Cricetulus griseus: one gene and its partners. The protein of the gene in region 2 interacts with the protein of the main gene of each other region in a biochemical or structural test. Links are inferred from orthologs where the notes say so. Each region holds a gene or a part of one and is shown on either strand. Other genes may lie near its edges. The genes, in order: Nfkb2, Bcl3 and Nfkb1.

Region 1 (5,753 bases), on a different chromosome or scaffold from region 2:
CCGGCCACTGGGCCCGCTCACCTCCTCCAGCGCCTCCATAACCCCCAGCAGAGCCCCCAGAACCCCCACCCATGTGGGATCCGCCCCCGAAGGGTTGGGAGAAGGTGGGCAAGGCCTTCCTCCGCTTCCGCTGCACTTCCTCCTTGTCTAGCGGGAACAAGAAACTGGGAGTTAAAATCCAATACACCGGTAGTCTTCAAGCCCGGCAACCTGCAGCCACCTCCAGGGCGCCAACGAGGCCACCATGCTCCCTCCAGCCCCTGGGAACCTGAAGCCCGGCCCCACCTTCCACCAGAGGGTAATAGGTGAACTGTTTGGAGTCGGAGACGTCCCCCCCACGCTTGCGTTTCAGCTGCAGGAACACCGTCACAGGTCTCTCTATCTTCATCTTGTGATACGGCGGTGTCCGGAACACAATGGCATACTGGGGTGGAGGGTGGGAGACAGACCTTTGGTGTCAGTGAGATCTCTGCCTGGGTCTGCCTCCAGGTCAAGCCCTGGCCCCTCAGTACCTGTTTATGAACGTCTGTAGGAGAGAAGTCCCCAAAGGCTTGCCACCCATTCTCGTCATCCTCATAGAACCGAACCTCAATGTCATCTACCGAGAAAAGTGAAGCTTAGCCATAGGGAGAATCTGCAGGTCCAGTGCATTCATTCTGAAGTTGCCCCGTCCCTCGCCCCGCCCCGCCCCCCCAACAACCAGTGTTTTTAATTCTCAGGCCTCCTGCCTCACCTTTCTGCACCTTATCACAAAGCAAATAAACTTCATCACCACCACGCACAGAACCTGCTGTTTTGTCCATTCGGGAAATCTTCAGGTTTGAGGCCCCTGGAGACTCTAGGATGGGAGATAGGTTAGGGCCACGTTGGCTTTGTGGTCATATCTCACACTTGAGGAAAAGACAAGCAACACTCAGACTAGCTAATAAGCCCACTCATCTCACACGCGGCAGGGCCGGCTCAAACCCCACGGACTGAAGGCATCCCAAACGCTCCTCTGGGTGCTCACACTTGGTACCCCAGGATACTCACTGCTGTCATGGATGGGCTGGGAGATAACTGGCTTCAGAGGCAAGGAGAAGGAGCCATCGCTAGCTCGGAGGAAAGCGGAGAAGCGCAGCCGAACGATGCTCAGGTCCATTACTTTCTTCAGCTCCTTGGCCTCCTGCTCCAGCTCCCTCCGCTCAGCCTCTGGGTGGACAGACAGGCTGGGGTGAACTCTGGGCCACACTACCCTGGCCCTCAAAGCATCTGACAACCCTTAGTGGCCATACCTGTAAGGCCCTGCGGACTGGAACGAAGCCGCTGCCTTTGAAGTTTCTGAATCATAATCTCCATCATGTTCTTCTTGGTTACGTGCAGGACACCCAGATTATTAAACCTGGGGAGGAGGAGGAGCAGGACTCAGAGGGCTTTGTCCATGGAGCTCTTTCCTCCTGAGACAGCCTTCTTACCACCAGGCTCAGCCTGGCTTTGTCCTCTAAGGAAACTGTGCTTTATTCTTGAGTCCCGGGGTTCTGGGCCAAAGTAAAAATCTCTCCCCATTGTGTGCTAGTCTCACGGGGGGGGGGGGGGGGGGCTGGGACCCAAGACTGGCAGGCAATGAACATCCCTCTGGGGGCCAGGGCCAGGGGGCACCTACTGAGCAGTCATGTCCTTGGGTCCTACAGACACAGCGCAGACCCCCAGCTCTGAGCACTGCTTGCCCACCAGACTGTGGGCATGCGCACGAGGTGGGTCACTGTGTGTTACCAGGTCCACCTCAATCTTGGCTGGTCCCTCATAGTTACAGATCTGAGAATGGCAAAGGACGGTCAGTAGTGGCACACTGGACACTATCCCCCAGCCAGCCCTCCAGCAGCATCCAAGCTCACCTTGACAGTAGGGTAGGTCTTCCGGCCCTTCTCACTGGAGGCACCTGGTAGGCCTCCATGGGAGGGGCCCTCACAGCCGTATCGAAATCTGAAGCCCCGCTGAGGGTTCCATGACAGAGACATTGTGGTCAGGAGAGACAGTCCCCCCACCCCCGCTGACCATAATGACCAACAGTGTGTCTCCTGAACTCCTCCCCACAACAGCAACAAACCATCCAATCAAAGTGGCTTCCCCTGTCAGTTACAGTTCCCCCACTTGTCCCCAGAGCTGAAGCTATGGGACACCTCTGTGGTCACTCACCTGCTTGGGCTGCTCCACAATCACCAGATAGGGGCCATCAGCTGCAAACAGAGAGGCCTTGCTCAGCCAGGATCTCCAAGCCCATCCCTCAGGCAGAGGGTCCACGCTCACACTCCTCCAGGCTCCGGGACACCCGAGGCTAAGGACTCACTGACCTGTCTCTGGGGCTGGATCCTTGGGCTCCACAATGGAGGGGCTGAATTCAAAGTCATCATAGTCGGGGATGCCATCCAGACCCTGGGTTTCAGACAGAGAAGGTGGCAGCTGAGTCTGAGCCCGCCTCCTCCCGGTGCCAAAGCCTCAGCAGTCACTGGACTCCTCCTCAAGCCAGGAAGAGGCTCCTTTCTGGGCAAAGTTTGCAGATAGGACAGACGGGCAGACTGAGGCAATCTGAAGACAAGCAGAAGCAGGGGAGGGGCCTTCGGTAGACACAGGGGCACAAGCCGGCTTCAGGGCAGGCAGTGTGACTCACTGGGTCGTAGCATCTGTCCATGTCTCTGGGCTAGGCCCGACCGTGTCTGGCGGCTTCGGGCCCTTGTTCGGCTTCCCAGAGTTTCGGACGCCCGCCTAAAACGAAGAGAGACGCGGGATGGGGGGAGGGGAGAGGTCGGGGTGGGGTGGGCAGGAGAGGGGGCCCAGGCCTGGGGGAGGGTCTGATCGCCTCCGGCCGCCCGTCCGGGCGTGGCGGGTAAGATCCGGTGGAGGTCGAGATCCGGAGCGGGGCCGGAGCGGGGAAGGGGCAGAAAGTTAGCGCAGCTTAGGAAAGTCCCGAAAATACCAGGGGGAGGCGGAGCCGGAGCCGGAGGGGGCGGGCCTGGAAATGACGCCGGGGCCTGGCCCCGCCCCCACGGCGGGAGGGGCGGGCGGGAGGAGGCCGGGGCGGGGCGGTCCCTGGCTCCCCCGCGGCGGCTGCAGCCCCCGGGGCTCAGTCGGGGCCTAGCCCGCCTCGCCCCCGCTCGGCGGCCCGGAGCAACCCCGGGGTTTTCGGCCGGCGCGGAGGACACGGCTGATTCACCCGGGGGCTTTTGCGGGGACATTCCTGCCGTCGGAGGCCCGTAGGCGGGGGCTCTTCCGTGGGGCCCGGGTTCTGCCCGGACGGAGAGCGCACCGAGCCGCAGGGCGGGAGAGGAGTTTCCCTCCGCGGCGGCTGCTGCCCGACCCCGCCTCCCGGACCCTCGCGCTGCACCCGGCCCGGGCGGCGGCCGCGGAGACCCCGGACCGCACCGCCGTGGCAGTGCGTGCGCACGCCCGGGAGAGCGTGTCAGCCCCGAGTGTGTGCGTGGCGAGCGAGTGGGGCAGCGCGCACGTGCCGCGGAGCGCTCGTCCGCGCAGGTGAGTCCCGGAGCGCTCCGAGGCGGACGTCGGTGCACGCCCGGGTGGCGGCGCCGGGGCGCGGGGAGCGCACGGCTGGCACCGGCCGGCTGTGCGAGCGCAGGCGGAGAGCCGCTGTGTGCCGGCGTCCCGCTCCTGGGCGGGCGGGCGCTCCCGAGGTGGTGTCCGGCCCCTGCGGCCACCTGAATCCCTCCTCCCTCCGTCCCGCTCCTGGCCCCGGCCACTCACCGCGGCGGCGGCGGCGGCGGCCCCGGGTCCGGCTGCTTCTTCTCCGCGAGCCCTGCCCTGCCCTGCGCGGCCGCGGCTCGGCTCCAGCCCGGGCTCCCGCCGGGAAAGCCCCTTTCGGCCCCCCGAGGGGGGAATTCCCGTGACGTCCCCGTGCGTCACCCCCATGCCCGGTCCTTATTGGCTGGAAGTTTAACTCCCGGACTCTCGCAGCCAACCCCGAGCGACGCAGGCGCGCCCCTTACGGGGAAGGCTCGCCCGGGCCGGTGACCGGTGACCGGGTGTCAGTCCCCCCCGGGCCGCTCTGCTGCGGACGGCCGAGGCGGGACGGCCGAGGCGGCGTCTCGGGGCCCGGGGCTCGGGTCTCCGCGCCGTCCCGGGCTTGGCCCGCATGGCTAGGGAGCGCACGGGGCCCTCACTCTGGCCGCGCCCAGCACTTGGCTGCCTCTGAAACCGGGGAAACCCGTGGCAAGCGGGCCAGTCCCGACGCTCGGGTCCCTCCGGGACAGGGACCTCGGTGCTGGGAAGTTAGGGGAAGAGGAAGGAGGCTCATCTTGCGGTCGGCTCCACATCGCCATCTAGTGGCCTTTCTGGATCTGCGAGGAAACGCTGGGGTCACCCACTGTCTCGGTTTGAAGGCTTCTGGAGACAGAGACTCGTGGTTTTAAATTTTATTCTCTAAGTGGCGGGTTCACGGGGGTCCAGGCTTTCGGGATGACCTGCTGGAGGAGCAGTGCGCTGGGAGAAAAAGAAACGGAGGCGTTTGACTGGGAGTCTCAGGCCTTGTTCATCCACCACAGGTGTCTGGACCAGTAGAACTGATGTGCTGATACACGCAGACCTGCAGTCCCGGCTTTCTTGAGACCGAGACAGGAGGATCGCCACCCTGTCTCAGCACACGTGCACGCAAAGGTGTCCAAAGTATGATATTCAAACCTCCTCCAGTGTAGAAAATGGCTATTGCTCGGTGGTGTGCTTTGCATGTATGAGGTCCATCATCAAAGCTGGTAGGAGGCTGGGGAGGCAGCTCAGCGGGTAAGCGCTCACTGCTGCTTTTCCAGGGGGACGAAGTTCTGTTCCCAGTTTCCACTTCGGACAGCTCACAAGTGTGTGAAACTGTAACAGCAGCAGATCCCACTGTCTCTCCCCCGGCCTCTGAGAGTGCTGAGTTCACGCGCACATTCCTCAGTTCCCACCCACTCCCAAAACCCTCCAGAATTACAAACACAAAAAAATCTATTTTGGGGCTCAGCGTTTAAGAGCAATGGCTGGTCTTTCAGAGGTCCTGAGTACGAGTCCCAGCAACAACATGGTGGCTCACAACCGTCTCTAGAGGGATCTGATGCCATCTTCCGGCATAAAGGTGTACATGCAGATAGAGCACTCATATACATAAAATAAATTTATCTTTAAAAAACTATTTTAAAAGCCACCCTGAGCTGGGCAGTGGTGTTGTACACATTTAATCTCAGCACTTGGGAGGCAGAGGCAGGCGGATCTCTGTGAGTTCGAGGCCAGCCTGGTCTACAAAGCAAGTTTCAGGACAGCCAGGACTGTTACAGAGAAACCCTGTCACAGAAAGAAAAAAAAAAAAATACAAGGAAAAAGTCACCCTGAAAATGAATGTCCTGTCCTCTCACACTCAGTGACCTCTCCTTGAGCACATCCAGTGACAAGGTCAACATGAGTGAGGATTTATAGCGTGGACTCCACATCCGCACCTCTGGTTGTCAACTTTCCCTGTAGGAGCTGTGTGCACAGTGCATCTCAACGCTTGGAGCACAAATCTTCCAGGTTTCTTCCACGACTTGCCCCGATCTCTAGGACATGGTCATAGACTTGTACCAGGAAGGGAGCTGTATTAATTCTTATCTGCCCCACCCTTAGAGTAAATGCTTGAAACAGGAAGCATTTCAGTCTTTTGTTTTTTGGTTGTTTTTTTTTTTTTTTAATTCTTAGGGTATTTGCATAGAATACAGGTTGGGCTTCACTAATCCGAAGAGATGAAACTATCTGTTTCA
Region 2 (5,773 bases):
ACTCGGGGAGGCAGAGGCAGGCGGATCCCTGTGAGTTCAAAGCCAGCCTGGTCTACAAAGTGGGCTCCAGAGAATACAGAGAAACCCTGTTTTGAACCCCTCCCCAAAAAAAGTGTTGGGTGGGGACTGGAGAGATGTCTCAGTGATTAAAAGCTATGGCTGCTCTTCCAGAAGACCTAATAGATCTTCACAACCATCTGTAACTCATGCCCTCCTCTTGCCTCCTCAGGCACCAGGCACGCACATGGTGCACAGACATTCACACAGACCAAACACCCATGTATGTAAATAAAACCAAAAAAAAAAATGAAAACAGAGAAAGATGCATAGTTCTCGTTTTTTGGATTATGATACAATTGAGAGGTTGGGGTTGTGGCTTCCTGTTAGAGCAAGCAAGGAGCGTACACAGGTTCAGTCTCCCACCCCCACAACAGCCCTAGCCAATGGGCGCTCTCAAGTGCCCATTTTCCATAGGAGGAAACTGAGGCTCAGTTAGGGGGAGAGCTCTGTGCAGTGTCAGTGAGCCATGGAGGCAGATCCTGACGTGGGACCCCATGGCGCAGAGGGCTGGGCTCCTCCAGGCTCTATCACTTACGTGTCTCCATCCTCGTCTGCGTGGGTGGCCAGGGCAATGTCAGCTGAAAGGGGGTGTTCCACGGGGCACATCCTGGAGTAGAGGTGTGTAGGCAGGTTCAGCAGCGGAAAGGGGGGTCCCACCGTTGGGGTAGGGTAAATGGGCACCAGAGGTCCTGGATACAGCAGAAACAACAGTATGACCCGGGTGAAGCCAACCTCACAGACCCTTGGCCAGGGGTCTCTCCCTCCAGGCCTTGGCATCCTCCCAAATCCCCTGCTCCCATTCTCATGTAGCCCGGGTTGACCTTGAATTTAATATGTAGCTGGGGATAACCTCCAATCCCGATCCCCCTGCCCTCATCTCCTGGGAGATGGAATGAATTATAGACCTGCATCACTTCACTTACTGTTACATTTTTATGTATATAAAGATTTACCCATTTTAAATTTTTCTGTGTGTGTGTGTGTGTGTGTGTGTGTGTGTGTGTGTGTGTGTGTGTGCACGACCGAGGGTGTTTATGTGCACCACATTTGTGCATGTGCCCATGGAGACCAGCAGAGGGCGCCAGATTCCCTGAAACCAGCGGTACAGGGAGTTTAAGTGGGTGCCGAGATCTGAAGACAAGTCCACTCCAAGAACACTAAGCCGTCTCTCCTGCCCCAAGGTCCCTTTTCTTTCAAAGATCTATTTATAGTCATTACTTTTACAAGTTGTATCAGCTTTTTAAAAGTGTATGAATGTTTTGCCTGCGTGTATGTATGCACACCACACGCCTGCCCGAAGCCCCCAGAGGCCGGAAGAGGGCGTTGCACTCCCAGAACTGGAGTTACAGACAGCTTTGTGAGCTGTCAGACCTAGGTGTTGGGAATAAGCTCGGGTCCTCTGCAAGAGCAGCAAGTGCTCTTAACCCCTGAGCCATCTCCCCCACCCCTCCTTTGAAACACTGTGTCACTGTGCTTTAGCCCAGGCTGGCCTCAAATTCAAGGAGATCCTCTTGCTGCAGCTTCCCAGGTGCTGGGATTACAGGTGTGCATCATCACGTTTGGCTATCCCAGATTCTGTTAGCTCCTCAAACTTGGTCCTCAAGGCCCGAGACAATGTTCTCATTCCTGGCACCCTCCCCCCCAATTCCTGCACCCTTTATCCCTCACCCCTAACCCCTATCCCTCATTCCGCGTCTCTCCTATGACGCTGTTTCTTCTCTCACTCACGCCTGACCTCCATCCATCTACAGAAGAGGCCCTTAAGGGCAGGGAGAGCCCTGTTACCACCCAGCAGGGGTACCCCAGTTACAAAGTTACACTGTGAGTCATTTCGTAGCTGAAGGGACCGGGTCTTGGGTGGGAAGTAAACACACAGCGGAGCCAGGGAGCCAGGACAGTTTAGATGGAACTTTGGGAAGGACTATTGCAAAGACGGGAAAACAGAGGCCAGGGTTCCCATCAGGCCAAGGAAGGCCTCCTGTTACACAGCTTGATGCCGGCCTGATGAAGCATGGATAGCTAGGCTAGCAGCTGAAGAAACTGAAGGCCCAAAGAAACAGGTGTCAGCAGCTCTGGGGTATCGAGCATATAGTAAGGCGGTTGTGCAAGGGGACGCCCCTTCCTTGATATAAAGGTTGGGGAGAAGGGTTCCTGGCTTCCTGCCGTCTGAGTAGCTTTGGGGTTCCCTTTCTGCAGTCCCACCTTTCCAGGCCCCCGAATCCCTTTCCTGGGTTAAGTCCTTCAGTTTCTGAATTCTTTAGTTGTGTTCCCCTTTCCAGAACCCTCTGTCCCCAAGCCTGCCCCTAGGGCCACCTGACCTAGGGACACTTGGGAGCACACACAACTGACTGCAGAATGCTGGCTTTGTTTGCTGACTCCTCCAAACTTGCAATATTGGGGTCCTTGGGACTCTACGTGTTTAGACCTGTGCTCCAAACACGGGAGTGCTCAGAACGCTAATGCCTTTCTCTCAATCCCTTTGCACCCTGAAATCCTGGTTCTCAAGATTAACCTTCGAGCCCTGTCTGTTTCTACGCCCCCTGCATATCTGCATACCAGAACCCCAGTTTCCAAGGCCCGGGTGATAATTCTGCATAGTCCTTACATCTTGTCCTTCCCCGTCTGAAATTCTGCATCTCTGGGATGCCATGGGACCCCATATCTGCGCCACTGGACACTGTCCCCTGACATCCCCCGCCCCCCGGCCATTTGACTCTTGGGCACCCCTCTGACCTCCTGTCTCTTGGTACCCACATGGCTGAACTCCAGGCAGGGCTTTGCAACCTGTTTCCTAACTATCTCTGGGACACTCGTCTCCATCCCAGAGTCCCAGCTACCAGGAGCCTCATCTATTTGTGTCTTATGCTCTACTGACCTCAGGTGGCCCCCACCCGGCCCTGGCCCTCGCTTGGGAGGCGCTACTCACCCTGGTAGTAAATCGCCTCCGGCCTGGCCACGCCGTGGGGGGGCCCAGGGACAGCCGGGGCGTCGCAGCTGCTGCGCAGGGGGTCCAGGGGTCTGGCGGGGGCGCGCGGGGCTGCGGCCTCCGGGGACGCGGAGCGCAGCGGACGTTTGCGGAGCGGCAGTGCGGCGCCCGGGGCGCCCTTGGGCCGGGTGCGCAGGTCCACGGGCCCCTCGTCCATGGCCCCCGCGGGGCATCGGGGCATCGGGCCGCCCGGAGACGCCGGGGCGAGCGGCAAGCTCGGCACGGGAAGGCGGTCTCGCCAGGCTGCGGGACTTCCCCTGCTGCCGACTGAACTGAAGGGACTTTTGTCAGCCGGGGCGGTGCCCGCCTCCCGCCTCCCCGCCCCCGGGCCCCCAGGGCCACCCGTCCGCCCCAGGGGTTTCCTGGACCCGCGTCTCGGAGGCGGAGCCGGCGCTCCTGGTCCCCACCCGCTGCTCTGCTCAGCGTGCCTCTCTGGCCCGGAGCTTGGTCTGGTCCCAAAGATTCTCTCTCTCTCTCTCTCTCTCTCTCTCTCTCTCTCTCTCTCTCTCTCTCTGGCTCTCTGTCCTTTCCCCCCCTCTCTCTCTCCCTACCTCCTCTCTCTCTCTCCCTCTCATTTTCTTAGACTGAAGCTCATGTAGCCCAGGCTAGCCTCGAGGTGGCTATGCAGCAGAGGGTGGTCTTGACCTTCTGATCCTCCTGTTTCCACCTCGAGTGCTGGGAAGACACCTGCTCCACTGGGGCCTTGGTTTTTCTTTGCCCAGGGATCATGTAGCCCAGGCTAGCCTTGAATTTGCTATGGAGCAGAGGATGACCTTGAACTCCTGTCTTCCCTCCCAAAAGCTGAGGCTGTGGACTCGGGCCACCATTAACAGGCACATTTTTCTATTGGTCGAGCAGGTGCCTCCTGCGTGCTAGGGATCCAAATGTCTCAGCCGACTCTGTCTCTGAATTTCATGGCTGCGGCTGCCTATCTATCGGAGTCAACATTTGTGAGCAACCTCCTCTCTTTAACCCTACTGTTACCAGCCCCATCTTTCCTTTAGTGTTTCTGAGTTTTTCACCCAGCACCTCCTGTCGCAACCCTGCGATTCTTGGAGGCCACAGGGTTGCTAGGACACAGGTTTGAATCCTGATTCCTACTTTCTCTTGGGTGACCTCGGCCATGCACACACACACACACACACACACACACACACAGTTGTTTCTTTTGTTTCTTTTCTTCTTCTTCTTCTTCTTCTTCTTCTTCTTCTTCTTCTTCTTCTTCTTCTTTTTTCTTTTTTCTTTTTTCTTTTTTGCAATACTGGAGCCCAGGCACTTGTGCTCGGCAAGCAATCGTCCCAGCACTGAGCATTTATGGCCCAACCTTCTGTTTGCTTTCCAAGTTTTCAAGCTGCCCAAGCTGACCTTGCGTTTGCTCAGTAGCCCAGGACAGCTTTGAACTTGGAATCTTCCTGCCTGCCTCTTGAGGAGGTGGGGATGGCAGGCCTGCACCATCAGGCTGAGAATGAAAAGCCCAGCCCAGGGCAGGGACTGGTTTTTGGCTGGTGCCCAGGAACTAGCCACTCTGTGCCTTCCTTGTGCCTCCCGGCTTGCAGGGCGGAGGGTGGACGGGTGTGTGTGCACGAGAGCTTCGAATGTGTCTCCTGCTGGGTCCCTGCACCCAGCCAGAGGCCTCAGAGGAGAAGATTGAATCCCAAAGGGAAGAAACCTGCAGACAGATCCCGAGAGACAGGGTGACCAGAGTGAAGAGGTTGGGACAGCAGGCCACAGTTAGGGCTCAAGGCCAAGCACTGTGGGCCTTGGGGGGTGCAGGCTGACTTCCTCAGCTCCCCCCCACTTCTCTTTCCACCCCGAGGAGGGGCTGGCGGGTGGGGAACAGGCCCGGCTGGTTGGGGCCCTGACTCAAAGGCACAGGAGCTGGGGAGGCCGGCCAGAGGCTCAGCCTGCTCGGGGCCCGCCCCGGGGCGGGGCCGCAGCTCGGGGCTTTCCCGGACATCCCTGGAGGTGGAGCGGCCACTGGGGTTGAATCCAGGTCACTGAGTCACAGGGAGGCGGATGGGGGAAGGCGGTTGGAGACTTAGGGAGGCAGGGGAATGGGCACTGCGCTGCAAACACGCCCAGAAGATTCTCGGGGTCCCCTGGTTCTTTCTCCGGATGTCCATGCGTCTCTACAAACCCGTTCCCGGGTCCCTTGTCTCCTGTCCCGTTTCCTGACTGTTTTTCCAGATTGGGTCTCTGTAGCCCAGGCTGGCCACGGACTAGGGGCAGTCCTCCTACCTGAGCCTCCAGAGTGCTGAGATTACAGGTGTGAGCCTACATCTCCATTTTTCTGTCCCTCCCCCCACTTTTTTTTTTTTTTTTTTGTCTCTGAGTCCTCCGTTGTCCTGGGACCATGAACGTGGGCGTGGAGCCTATGAAGGGACTTTGGCCGGCTGGGGCCCCACCCAAGTGGATGGTTAACCTGGTCTGTGGGATTCGAGGTGCCAGGTGACCTACCTCTTCCTACCGTTTTTGTTTCTTTCTGGCTTGCCCTTCTCCTCCCAACCCACAGTGTGCCATTAAGGTGAATCAGGAGAGAAGACCAGACCTGGGTTCAAATCTCACCTCCAAGCCACCAGGGGAATTGTGTTTGCCTGTAATTCCAGGTTGTTTAGCAGTCGAGGCAAAAGGAGAGAAAGGTTTGGGTTAGCCTGGGCTACAGAGTGAGTTGAAGGCCAACCTGGGTAACCTGTGGAAACTATCTCAACAAAATGAGCCAATAAAGCA
Region 3 (5,554 bases), on a different chromosome or scaffold from region 2:
ATTAAGGCAACACCACAAAGATAAGAACTATTAACTCTACCAAACTACACTGTGTGGTTTTCAAACTCTCCCAGACTCTATCTACTCTTGCAAGACTATGCCCATCTTCCAAACATTCCTCCCTGAGGCTGAGCGTCTGCACTTAGTGGAAAGCCTCAAACCCTGAAGCTTCGACAGAATGCATTCCCTGGGATACACCCATCTGCTCTTACTCTTCTCACCTGCTCACCTCTAAAACAACAACCAGCTCCAGTACTGAAAAGAGGTGCAAAAGCACAAACCACAATTCCCAGAAGCAGAACCAGGTGCTCCGGGTGCCAACCAGCCTTAATGGGACAGAAATGCAGGACTAAGGCATGCTGGTCTTCTAGTATAATTCTACTACTCGCCCTTCTCCTGGCCCTCGAACACAACAGTCGCACTACCTTATAGAATTGATTCATGTTGCAAGCAGAACGCTGGAAAGCCATCCAAACAAGACAGCTTCCTACCAGAAGACAAGCCCATGAGAATTTCTGCAGATACTGACTCACATACATCCAATCTGTATTCCTGGTACACTTGCTAACATAGTATCTCTGGGCCCAGGACAGGACACCTATTGGTAAATTCTAGGAGTGGGGGAATAAATGGTATCTTGAGCACATTATCCAAAAATCCTGCCAGCAGGGCTAGAGGCATTTGGAGGTATGGAGGTATAGTTCCATAGTAGACCACTCATAAGGCCCTAGGTTTATCCTAGTCTGGCTAAACAATGAATCTACCTGGCAATTTAGGAATAATTATTTAGCTTATTATTTAAAAATGGCAGCTACTTTTCTTTCTTTTCTCAAGCTCAAATTAATTGACGGCTGTGAAGTGGTTACTGCCCCCTAGAAGTCAGAAATCTCACCTCTTCTGAGCAGGGGAATACCTTATAAATAAATTAGGTAAAACCCTGGGCTTGCTGATTGAATGATAATCCACAATCCATGTGGCTGCCAAGTTTTATCTAGCTCTATCTACCACAATGAGCAATCCCTGAACGTCAAGGCAGTGGCTTGCTTCATCAGTTATCTGGAAGTCTGAAAGCAGCAGAGAAAACAGCCTGCAGAAATACTAGCTTCTCCACTTAGCTTCGATTCGTCTGAAGGGACCACGGCAAGGGACATGGCCACTAAATCTAAAATGCTGCCCATTTCCAACTAGTTGGGCTTTAACCCACTGTGACTCAGTCAGCCTGGCTGAGTTCTAGAGGCAGAAGCAAAAAAAGGAAACACAAAGATCAAAGCAGTGCTTACAAAGGGGAAAGACTATTTTTGTATGTATACTCCAGTATTTACTAACTGGCTTTGAAACACGGGGACATTTACTACCTACTCAGCTCAAGTAATTGCCATACGTAGAACACAAGATGCAACTGAATTTCAGAACAAAGATAACAGATTGTCAGGTGGCCACCAGCCTTTAACAAGATTAGACAACTTTCTTTAAAAGTCTTTTGGTTTTGAAGTGGTTAGCATTTCACAGCAAGTATAGTATTTTAGTGCCAGCATTAAGTCTACCCAGAAGCCTTCTTTTGTGCTCAAGTTTGTTGAGTATGTTAAGCCAAGAAGACATTTTTCTCTAAGCTAGCAAGAGACTCCCAGATGTATCCACATGGGCAAGAGCTACAGATTTCACATTGCCATCATTACGTGTGTTCTGCTAGTCATCCAATTGGATGACAAATGTTAAATCCAATAGGAAGCAAATCTTTTCATTCCTGTCTTCTCAAGTTCATATGCTAAGCAAAGTACTTTGTTGTAAATAATTTACATAATTTTTAGTTCATCAGACAGTAAGTGGCTCCATCTCTAGAAAGCACAATATGAAAATCAGGGAAAAACACATTTCAGTTAGGGGCTTACTTTAATCAAGTTTCCCTTTTTAAGGTCTTACAAATATTAACGCATTTTATGCCACCCAAGAATACTCAGCTGAGGATTTCACTAGAAAGCTACCGAAGTCTATCTTCATCTCCAGCTTTCATATTTACCAACGACCATCAGTCTATACCTCGTTATTTGATGTCATGGCTATCAAAATGTTAATAAACACCGAAAGCATTTCTCAGTTATGAGCCCTACGACAAAAACTTTTTTAGTTAAATATGGTAACTTAGCTGCAATGTCAATCTTTAAAATGTCCACAAAAGTGGGTTAAATCTAGGTGATGAAATCTTTTTTTTTATCATTAGTTCCATTTAAGTTTCAGAAGAGACCAGTAAACAGAACCAAGATCGGCCTCTATCTCAGAAGACCTAAGAAAGCTTATATGTAGGAAAGGCGTCGTTTGTATGGTGTTTTGTGGTTGTTTTGTTTTGTTTTAGAGGTCATGCACGATACATGGTGCCATTATCCTAGAGTTTCCTGCAATCAAGTGTCTAAGAGGCGCTTAAATTAGTAGGTAATTTCTCTCTCTAATGCCAAGGCCTGGAGAATCGGTGTGAGGCCCTCCTCATATTTTGAAAATCAATGTTGAGATCTGGCAGCTGAATGCACTCTGTGTGTGTGTGTGTGTGTGTGTGTGTGTGTGTGTGTGTGTGTGTGTGTGTGTGTGGGGGGGTGATCAATGTTGAGATCTGGCAGCTGAATGCACTCTGTGTGTTGTGTGTGTGTGTGTGTGTGTGTGTGTGTGTGTGTGTGTGTGTGTGTTGGGGGGTGTCTATCACAGATCAGAAAGTGGGCCGTGTGTGTGTGTGTGTGTGTGTGTGTGTGTGTGTGTGTGTTGGGGGGGTGTCTATCACAGATCAGAAAGTGGGCCTCAGGCTCTCCTGCTGGATTCCGAGGAGCTGGGAAGGGGGCTGCCAGCCTGGAGGACTGACAGGCACTTCTGCTTTCATTTCACCGCCCGCCCGGCTGCCTGCCTTTGGTGAAATCTGGCTGTGCACTGCACCAAGCACCTTCCTAGCTCTCCTCCGCGGCGGACCTCAGCCCGGCAGCCATCCCCCACCCCGCGGCAGGGGCTTGGGTAGACATTTCTAAAACTTTGCCAGAGTTCCCCTCCGGTTCCCGTTCCCGCCCGCGGAGACGCGGAGGGCCCGGCCGGCCGGGGAGGCCTCGGGCCGCCCAGTGCGGATGTGCCCTGTCCCCGCAGCCGGGGGCCGCGCGTCCCGCAACTCCGGCCCGGACTCCCCCGCTCATCCCCGCGCCCTCCCCGCGGACCCGCCCGGAGCCCCGCGCAGCTGCGAGCCGCTCGGACCCGCCGCGGGGCTGCGGCGCACAGGGGGCGGCTGCGCCCCTCGCCCCAACCCCCGAGGCTTACCCTGGAGGTGCGGCGCGGCGCGGCGCGGCCTCTCGGCGCCTGCGGGCTCCCGCTGCGGGGCGGGGCGGCGCGGACCGGCGGGAGCCCGAGCGGGGTCCGGGGGTGCGGGCCGGGGTCGGCGGCTCAGCGGCGCGCCATGGCTGCGGCGCGGCGGGAAGCGCGGTGCGGGCCGGGCGCGGCGGGGCCCTGAGCTCCGTCCGGCCTGCGCTGCTGGAGCTGGCCCGCGAGCAGGCGAGGGCGGCGGCGGCGGCGGGAGGCCGGGGGCGCGCAGGGCACGGGAAGCCGTCAGCGCGCAGCCGGGCCGCTCCGGTGGCGAAACCTCCTCTTCCTGCCCGGCTCGCCCGCCTCGGTACTTCTCTCTCGTCCTCTCTCGCTCACTCTCTCACTTCCTGGCTGGAAATTCCCACTGACGTCGAGAGAGCAGACAGACGGACGGACCCACGCGCGCGCGCAGCGGGGGCGGGAGGTGGGGTCGCCGCCGGGGGTGGGGGAAGCCCGCGCCTCCCGACCCGGCGCCCCGAACCCCGAGCCCCGCGGCGGCCGTGACGCCCCCGGGAGGCGCCCAGCTGCCCAAGGGCAGGCCCGAACAGCTGGAGGCCACCGGAGACCCGCTCGGTCCCCACGTGCCCCGCACAAAAGTCAAGCTCATCTGCATGTTCCCTCCTCTGGGGGTCTCGGTTGCACTCAGATCTCTTCGCAGGCCGAACAGGAATTTCGAGATCGTGGCTGATGTCTCTCCAGAGAACTATGAATTTATGTTGGGTTTGGGTGAAGTCTTCAATCTGGTCAGTTATTCCATCCGCAGCACATTGTCCGGCCTGTGCGATCACGGCTGTGGATGGAATTCTAGCGACTGTGGGACCCACAGTGTTAGTTTACAGCTCATAAATCCTTATTCGGCTCAAGGGAGGTTATTTTTCTGGAGAGGACTCCCAGGGATGACCTTTTGCGAGCATTTGAGCTTCTTTATCCTTTGGGCACAGTGCCTCCATGGGCTGGGATGACAGCCTGGGGCAAGGTAGCTCCAGAGTGAGTTTTGATCTGAAACATATTTCAGGGTCTCACTACTGAGTTCAAGTGGAAACTTTGAAACGCCAGGGATCAGGTCAGCAGGTAGTATTGATTTGGTACTTACTCTGAGCAGCTTTCCATCACACAACCCCTGAGGGTGTAAAAACCTTCTTGGTATGTTTGTGAGGAAACACGTTTTCCATATTTGATATTGGGGATTAAGTGTCCTCAAGAGCCCAATAATCTACCTTAAAGCTATGTCATTTAAATCCCAGTGAATCTGGACGCCTAGAGCTCACAAACTTCATACAGATGGAAGACAAAGACTTTTTATGGGACATTATTAGAAATTGTGCCCCTTGGGGGTTGGGAAATAGTTCAATCAGCATAGAGCATAGTCCCAAGGTTGGAGTTGAGATCTTTAATACCCATGTATGTAAGAGCCGTTGTAGGTGGGGACATTTGTAACCCCAGCTGTGAGAAACAGCATCAGTTGGATCCCTAGAACTCATTGGCCAACCAATATAGCCAAGGGCTGAGCCACAGGTTCAGTGACATAAAGTGACACACACAGAGACCACCAACACATGATTTTTTTCCTTCCTCTTGCTGACATGCGTGGACAGGAAGACTACAGTGTGTAACGTGTGGGCAGTCCTACTGTCAAAGGCATAGGTATAGAAGGGATTGTTACAAAGGGAGAGGCAGGTGGGATTTACCGTGGGACCTGAAGGGAAAACTGTTCAGCAGCAGCATCTACCAAGTCACATGTCAAGCTCAAAGTGATCCCATGAAATACACCTAAAACAGGAGGCGGTACGGGAGGCAGGTGGACAAGGCTCCTGTGTCTGTGGCAACAGGTCCCCACAATGTCAGGGATCTGTTCCTTCACAGCCCTTGAAGCCAGAGGCCTGACATTAAGGTGTGGCTGTTAAGGCCAGGATCTCCAGAAATCCTTTGTCCAGTCCTAACTGGCTGAGGCAATGCCTGGCACTCTTGGGCTTGGCGGCACCATTCTAGTCCTCTGCTTCATTATTGTATCAGCTCCTCCCTGTGCCTCCTCTAATCTAAACCCAAAGAGACTTGCCTTTCTTTTATTTATTTAAAGGATTAATTTTTAACTCTCTGTAGTGTGTGTGTAGGGTGTGTGTGTGTTTGTGTGTGTACGTGTAGGTGACTGTGGAGTTCAGACGATGCGTGTGTAGGTATGTGTGTGTGAGTGTGGGTGCCTGTGGAGTCCAGACGAAACATCAGATCT

What was found.
Region 1: the proteins of Bcl3 (region 2) and Nfkb2 form a complex in vitro, tested with the Homo sapiens proteins (2 studies listed by BioGRID). The link is inferred for Cricetulus griseus from reciprocal best matches to the Homo sapiens genes BCL3 and NFKB2.
Region 3: the proteins of Bcl3 (region 2) and Nfkb1 form a complex in vitro, tested with the Homo sapiens proteins (2 studies listed by BioGRID). The link is inferred for Cricetulus griseus from reciprocal best matches to the Homo sapiens genes BCL3 and NFKB1.

The regions. Positions count from the first base shown.
Region 1 is NC_048596.1:15,286,445-15,292,197, forward strand, and holds the start of Nfkb2 (nuclear factor NF-kappa-B p100 subunit), read right to left. Parts: upstream 3,887-5,753; 5' UTR 3,736-3,886; intron 2,743-3,735; 5' UTR 2,669-2,742; coding exon 2,648-2,668; intron 2,413-2,647; coding exon 2,331-2,412; intron 2,217-2,330; coding exon 2,176-2,216; intron 1,974-2,175; coding exon 1,875-1,973; intron 1,795-1,874; coding exon 1,643-1,794; intron 1,382-1,642; coding exon 1,275-1,381; intron 1,192-1,274; coding exon 1,033-1,191; intron 839-1,032; coding exon 734-838; intron 599-733; coding exon 513-598; intron 425-512; coding exon 286-424; intron 148-285; coding exon 22-147; intron 1-21. UniProt on the Homo sapiens protein: NF-kappa-B is a pleiotropic transcription factor present in almost all cell types and is the endpoint of a series of signal transduction events that are initiated by a vast array of stimuli related to many biological processes such as inflammation, immunity, differentiation, cell growth, tumorigenesis and apoptosis.
Region 2 is NC_048602.1:27,513,964-27,519,736, reverse strand, and holds the start of Bcl3 (B-cell lymphoma 3 protein), read right to left. Parts: upstream 3,537-5,773; 5' UTR 3,228-3,536; coding exon 2,987-3,227; intron 750-2,986; coding exon 596-749; intron 1-595. UniProt on the Homo sapiens protein: Contributes to the regulation of transcriptional activation of NF-kappa-B target genes. In the cytoplasm, inhibits the nuclear translocation of the NF-kappa-B p50 subunit.
Region 3 is NW_023276806.1:23,789,499-23,795,052, reverse strand, and holds the start of Nfkb1 (nuclear factor NF-kappa-B p105 subunit), read right to left. Parts: upstream 3,348-5,554; 5' UTR 3,286-3,347; intron 1-3,285.